Cricetulus griseus: one gene and its partner. The protein of the gene in region 1 interacts with the protein of each later gene in a pairwise test. Links are inferred from orthologs where the notes say so. Each region holds a gene or a part of one and is shown in the gene's direction. Other genes may lie near its edges.

Region 1 (3,755 bases):
CCTTGGCAATCAAACAATTTAAAGAGAACAATATGGCATATAGTATCCAGATTCTCTGTGTATTTTCCGTCTTTATGTGGCTTTTTTATTACTTTATTTTTACTATCTTTCGTTTATTTTTTCTGAGACAGGGTTTCTCTGTGGAAATCTGCCTGCCTCTGCTTCCTTCAGCAAATCCTACCGGCGTGAGCCACCACACCCAGCTACTCTATTTCCTCCTGTTATTTTTTCTCTCACAAGCCTACATATATTTTTAAATGCAGTGTAAACCTTTAGAGGTTTTTCTTTATCTGGATCTGTCTGTATCATCTTGGGAGTGCTGAGTCCAAGGCCCAAGAGCGCCGGGACGGCGTGAGCCTATGGAAGCTGTTCCAATGCCTCTCAGCACCCTGACAGGGCAGGCTGTGGTGGCAGGTTTCCCTCATTCTCTGGGAACCTTGGGGCATGGGGTCATCCCACTCACTGACCCATTCCTTAAGGTTTGCACTTGATTCTTTCAGCACATTGGTTGAGTACAAGCACCTGACTGGGAGGAAGCCATTTTATTTAAAGTCCATTAGGGATAATAATCACAGCTGCAGTATACCTTTGCAGAAATACTGAGAGTTGAGTGTCTGATAAACTCACTGGGGATCAGAACCTGACTAAATTGACACATACATCTGGTCTAATCTGTAGAAAAACTGAGGCAGAGCTGAAACATACAGCAGGGTACACAAGCCCAGCATGTCCCTCTTGCCCCTCCCTGCTTCCTTCCCAGGATTCATATCAGACAAGGCCATCTACTTTGCTTGAAGACTCTGCATTGGAGGAGGCAGGATGTTCTGTACAGAGAAGCTCCTCTGATAGAGTGCTGTACCCTAGATTACTGGCCAGTCATGGGCTTGTAGAAACCATGATAAGCATGGGACCTGTCACTGCTTTGGGCACTTATGGATGCTTGGGCCGTATGCCAGCCCTTGTCTCTTTCTAGACCATGATGGAGGATGGGATCCTCCTACCCGTGAGTAGCAAAATCAAGGGGAGATGAATCAGGGCAGCTCACAAAAACAGTACCACTTAGAGCACTATCTCATCTCCAAGTTGCTTACACAGCAGAAGAGAAGGCGGCCACGAGACCCACCAACAAGATACAGTGGGAACTCAAGGTGCCAATCCAAGGCCTGAGCACAGAGAGGGAGAACTGGCTCCACCCTCTTGTGCCAGTATATCTCCCTCACATTTCTACCCCTGGAAGAGGCGAGCTTCCAAGTGTCTTCTCTGTGCCATCCACCCTGAACAACCTTACAAATGAATACCTGGTGGTGATGGCAGAAAGCCCTTCCAATGTCAAAGAAGGGTATAAAATGTCCATTTCTGAAGATCTAGGGACTGGAAACTTTGACCAAAGCCAAGAACAACCAGTGATGTCAGGTGAGAATCCCCTAAAAAGCCTGTTGGGTATAGTTAATCATGTGCGTTTACTTGTGCTGCTTCTACAACATCCCAGTCATTGTGCATGCTGTTTACTTAGTCTGGAAGGTTATTCGTTTGTTTTAGGTATTTCAGTGTTGATTTATGCTTTTCTTTTGCCATATTAGCTTGTTTTGGTTTTTAATCATTCATGAACCATTTACATATCTGAATTTACATGGATGGAAGATTTTATTATTGGTATTTCCTATTCTCTCATACATAGAGATGGTTTGTGTTTGGGATTTCATCTCTTGATCATTGCTCATGCTACAGAATCCTAGGCCCAGGGCCAGATTTTCAGTAAATACATACTGACCTGTTGAACAGATGGACAAATAGGCTGAGCATCAGAAGTGAATGGGTATTGAGTGATTTCTGCTGTTTTCAGTACCCAGAAAGTTCTGGTAAAACCTTTAAAGCAGTATTCATAGCAGTCTCTGTTCTTCTTTCTAGAAATGATGGAACGTGGGTCCCGGTCACTGGGAGGAATCCAAAGACGTCCAAGGGCAGAGCAAAAACCTGCTGGATCTGGTTCAGGCCAGTCATTTTGGAATGTGACTGGACCTCGTCCCAAGAAAGGGGTATTGACAAATGGTGGCTAGTTTAGGGTGGGAAGTTCTTACTTTGGGGCTCCTGTATTCCCATGGTAGATATAGCTAGAAGTTGATCATTAGGAGGAGGAAGCTTCCATATACCAATAAAGCAAATGAATGAAGGGTAGATCATTGGAAGGTTAGGGTTGTACTGTATAATGCTGGGACTTCAATGCTAGAAGTCTGCATGCCTAGCAAACATGTTGACTGGAAAATGCATCTATAGTTGACCCTCTACATTCCTAGGTCTTGCATCCATTGGCTCAATCGATCACAGATGGACACTGTCTGTGGGTGGAGGTGGAGTGATTACATCTCTAGAGAATACATGCAAGATGTTTTTCTTGCAATGATTATCTACACAATATAGTATAAGAATTACTTAGATGGCATTTACATTTTATTAGACATTATAAATAATATAGTAATTATTTCAATTATATAAAAAGATATGATTATGCTATATTCTAATATTATGACCTTTTACACAAGCAACTTGGGAATCTGCAGAGCTGCATAACCATAGTGAGGCGTTTATTCTAGAAACAGTCTCCATGGATACCAAGGGATGACTATACAATTCTTTATAAACTTCCAAGGTGTGAAATGATGTTTTCTTTTAAATTACTTAAAATCATCTTGAAGGTTTACATTCATCTTCAGTAGGTAGCTTGGGTTTTCAAGGGATGCCTGCATGTAAAAGTTCTACCAAAAGACAGAGAAGCCTGTCACTGCATTTTCCTTGGCACAGCACACAAGGCTAGAAGCTACCAATAGGCATGGTGTGTGTGTGGGGGGGGGCACAGGAAGATGAAATGACATCATGGGGCTCCTATGGGGTGTACTGTTGATTCATGCACAATGCGGTGCTAAAAGGGTGACTTGGAATGGTGTATCCTTTCTTTCTGTAGGGTCATCAGGTGCAGATGCCCCGGATGCCAAGAGATCACAGTCAGGTGGATGGCTATCTCCAGGAGTTTCCTGGCAACTTCCAAACAGGGAGGGTCCCTTATGAGCGGTAAGAGTTCAATTGTCTTGTTCCTAGCTACTGGGGGAGGAACAAGCAGAGGGTAGGGCCATAGGGACTAGTGAGCATCCGAGTCGAGAAGCAGATGTATATACTTGAAGTATTGGGATACTATTGCCTCCTGGCCATTTGGGATCTACGTATGCTTTGGCAAAGCCTCCGGCTTCTTTACTACACAAGGGAAGGACTGGGATCTTTATCCAAAAAGCCTTCAGGCATACCTTATTGCTCTGTGTCTTTTCTATGGCCACCAACACCTCTGAGCCATGTAACCTTTCCTTCCAACAGTCTGGAGGCAGATTTAGTGGCAGAGATTGGCCTGGAAGAACTCAATGGGCTGGAGATGGAAGTCATGAGAAGGCAGGTAAGCATCTGTTGTATAGTTGGAGGAAGCATCATAGTGCTTTGGAGTGGGTGATTTTGGCAGTTGTGAACAAAGCCACCCCCGAGTTTTCATAGCCTTTGTCCAAATCATATCCTGTAGCAAATGAAGTGAGGTTGGGCTCTCCTTTCTGTTCTTCTCAGGCCTCATGCCTTGAGTACCTCATGTTGATGTTCACCCTTGACTTTCCTTTATGCTGGAGATGCTGGACAGGAATTGGGGAAGAGAAAAGGATGTGGAAGGGGGAACAAAGATTCATTTTGGTTTTGGTCATATTTTCCCCCTACCCTTATGTCTT
Region 2 (3,655 bases), on another chromosome or scaffold:
CTCCCTTGCTGTGCGTGAACACAGGGACCCCTTTGTAATGTTTGTTTTGTTTTGTTGTTGTTTTTTAAACACTTAGAAAAGAGGAGCAAATCCCCAAAGCGCCAAGGTACCCCACATGCCTAGGGCGTTTCACTGCCTCACCTAATTGCCCCAAGGCTAGAGTCCTCACAGGTAGCATGTTCTTTTCTAACGGAAACTGGAATTGCTCTGTGGTAACTAACACACACTAACATTAGCGTTAGCTGGGCTGTGGCTCACACGGCATATGCGTGTGCATGCGTGTTACACGTGGGAAACGTCAGGACCAGAAAGGATACTCCAGGAAGGAGCATGACAGGAGAACGGGCTGGCCAGCATCTGTGAGCCAGAACCCGTTTTAATGGTGACCTGCTGGAGAGAGCAAGTCTGTGTTCCCGTTATCGTCCTGGCTACGATTGTAGCCTGACAGTCAGACTGTTGTAGACTGAGTACCTCCTCTTCCTGGGTATTTTAGAGTTTGAGAACTTATCTGCTGTGAATTTCTCTGGGTGCCCATGTGACATTGCACCTTGTCCTGACTGGAAAGAGTGGAACAGTTTACAAACTGAAGACTGAGGTGCTGGTGTCAATGCTCCTAGCGTCGGGACAGTCCCTGCTCATAGCCTCTCAGCCTGACCTGTTGGCATGCAGTGCCAGGTGACCCTGCATTGGAACATCCCATATCCTGCAGGTTGCTTAGCAGTGTCACTGGCTCTTGCCTCTCCTGGTGACAATTACAGGTGTCTCTGGACACCCCTCTGGGAGCAAGTCACCCCTGGGTAAAATAAAAAGGCAACTGAGCACCAACAGATTTGTGTTTGCCGTGAAAAGGGCCTTTTTCCTGGAAGTTCACCTCCGTTTCTGAGATCCATTCTGGCGTCCATTTCTGGCTGGCCCTGCTAACTCCTGTTGCTTTTTAGATGTGTGCTTGGGGTTCTGTGTTTATCGTCGTTCGTCTGTTAGCACAGGTCTAGTTGGTATTCTGGCCCCTTCCGTCACAGAGACACAATTCTCACAAGACACTCTTTTCTTTTCATCCTGAAGCTCCGAATCTCAGGATGGAGCCGGTGACAGCACTGGGTGTCCTCTCCCTTGTCCTCAACATCCTGTGCGCTGCCCTGAACCTTGTCCGTGGAGTCCACCTGGCAGAACACTCTTTACAGGTGACCCTCTGTACAGATTTTTTTTCTGGTGGTTGTGGGGATTGAACCCAGGACTTTATGAATGCCTCAGCATGCGCCTTTTACCCTGGAGCTGCGTCCCCAACCGGTCTTTACAGTCCAAAAGGAAAGACAAGTGACAGAAACTGATGATGGGACAGTTTTTATCAGGTCGATATGAGGTTAGGATTTTGTTGGTTAGTTTCTTGTTTTTTTTGTTTGTTTGTTTTGTTTTTTGTTTTGTTTTTGGCTTTTCAAGAGAGAGTTTCTTTGTGTAACAGCCCTGGCTGTTTTGGAACTCCATCTGTGGACCCCTCTGACCTTGAACTCACAGAGATCCGCCTGCCTCTGCATCACAAGTGCTGGGGTCAAAGGTGTGTACCACTACCACCACCTGGCACAGCTAGGTTTTATGAATGTTAAAAATTCAAATAGAACATTTTAGAAATTATAATCCATAAGCTGGATATGGTGATGCACCTCAGTAACCCCAGCCCTGGAGAGGTGGAGGCAGGGGGATCAGAGGTTCACACCCCAGATCAGCTGCATAAGAGCTCTGGGCCACCTTAGGGGAGAGTATAAAATGAAAGAATCTTCAAAACAAAAATCTGCTCTTTGTAGTAAGCTGAACACATCTGGAAAGATCCCTTTGTGACTGCCCTTGGGAGTTCTGGGATGTTGCTGGGAAGTAGGCAGCTTGCTGCAAGGACTTTGGGCTGCCGCTGTGCCCTTAGGAACCAAGGATCCATTGTCAACAGGACACAGGTTGGATTCTCACACTGTCAGGCTCTAAGAAAAGATGTTCCCACTGTGTGATGTGTGGCCCATAGGCACCTCTTCTCTTGCCAGAGACCCACATCCCCAGGGACAAAGCCAGCGTTCCGTTTCTTGGCCACCGATGGTGAAGCAACATTCTGTCTCTATGCTTTCTTCAAATATTCGATTCCAAGCAATAGAACTGTTATTAGCATAAGCAGGTAGTTGTTATTTTCAAGGATAGATCCATGAGTTTTTATAGATTTTTTTTTGTGTCACATTGCTTTGTTTGAACCCTTTTTGATCTTACTGGGCCTTTTGATTATATAGTATGGTTTCTGATTTTGTGTTTCTATGGATTTGGGGTTATTGTGTTTGCTGTACTTTTTCTTTTATTATTATTATTATTGCCTTTTTTAACAAGAGAAGAAAAGCGTGGAGTTGGTTCAGTGGGGAGTTCAGGGGGACCTGGGAGGGAGTGCAGGAGAGGAGGGGAAACCGTGACCATATGGATCACATGAACTGTCAATAACAAAGCAAAGCCGTCCTTCTCACTGCAGTGTTAGGTGTTGGCTAGAGACTAAATGGTGGTGGTTTGTGGGTGCTGAACCCAGGAGGGTGATGTGGACTGACCCCTTTGAGGAGTGGCCTCAGGCTCCTGTTAGAGCGGTACCTGTGAAAACCCTTAGGCCGGTGACCACATCTCATCTTCTAACAGTGTGTGGTGTGGATCAGGTACCTGCTGGCTATTTGTGGTAGAATCGGTGCCTGGCTGGCAAAGTGGCTAAGATAGGTCCTGCCGAGGGGTTCTGATGGCATTGTGCAGGGACAGCACTGAGGAGGTGATGGTTCCCGGGGCAGGAGTTTCTAGAAGAAGCTTAGCATTAACAGATGAGAAGGGTTCTTGGGGGTGAAGGAAAATTGCATGTTGAGGACGTAGCATGGAGGCCTGGGACAGAAGTACACACGGTCTATCTAACCATTGAAAATGGTCACATGCCAACCCTGGGTCTGGCTAGGCATCCTTGTACTGTCAGTCACACCGGTGACACAGGATAACAGACTCTGTGCCACCATGATTCCTTTCAGCCAAACCTTTCTTCTATGTACCCCTGTCTGTTTCAGGTTGCCCAGGAAGAAGTTGGGAACATCCTGGCCTTCTTTATTCCTTCTGTGGCCTGCATTGTCCAGGTGGGTGCAGCCCCTGACTGGCTGCTTGTGGGGACTGCAGGCAGGTGCCTGAGGGAATAGTGGCACCCAGCGTGGCTGTGACTCGGGAGAAATCACAGTAGGATTGGGAGGGCCTTTCTGCCTGATCTGCCCCTTATACTGCATCTCTCTCTTCTCTGCATCCCCAGTCTGGACGTCTGCTTGTGTGTCTCTAACACCCTTCCTCCGGTGACACCTGTTTCATTCTCTTAGAATCCGGTGATTACCAGCTGCTGGTCCCAGCTTTGCTGTAGCGAGTTCAGTTAGTAGGTGAATGCATACAGGTGTCAGTTAGTAAGTGAATGCATACAGGTGTCAGTTAACAGGTGAATGCATACAGGTGTCAGTTAGTAGGTAAATGCATACAGGTGTCAGTTAGTGGGTGAATGCATACAGGTGTTAGTTAGTAGGTGAATGCATACAGGTGTCAGTTAGTGGATGAATGCATACAGGTGTCAGCAGGTGAATGCATACAGGTGTCACTTAGTAGGTGCATGCATGCAGCTGTTGTG

The links.
Region 2: the proteins of Fate1 (region 1) and Sec22c interact in binary tests that used the Homo sapiens proteins (3 or more experiments, as listed by UniProt). The two-hybrid records come from large-scale screens. The link is inferred for Cricetulus griseus from reciprocal best matches to the Homo sapiens genes FATE1 and SEC22C.

Annotation. Positions count from the first base shown.
Region 1 is NC_048604.1:3,691,241-3,694,995, reverse strand, and holds the start of Fate1 (fetal and adult testis-expressed transcript protein), read left to right. Parts: upstream 1-1,307; coding exon 1,308-1,413; intron 1,414-1,908; coding exon 1,909-2,036; intron 2,037-2,959; coding exon 2,960-3,066; intron 3,067-3,363; coding exon 3,364-3,439; intron 3,440-3,755. UniProt on the Homo sapiens protein: Involved in the regulation of endoplasmic reticulum (ER)-mitochondria coupling. Negatively regulates the ER-mitochondria distance and Ca(2+) transfer from ER to mitochondria possibly implicating it in the regulation of apoptosis.
Region 2 is NC_048597.1:228,685,272-228,688,926, reverse strand, and holds part of Sec22c (vesicle-trafficking protein SEC22c), read left to right. Parts: intron 1-1,062; coding exon 1,063-1,181; intron 1,182-3,059; coding exon 3,060-3,125; intron 3,126-3,655. UniProt on the Homo sapiens protein: May be involved in vesicle transport between the ER and the Golgi complex.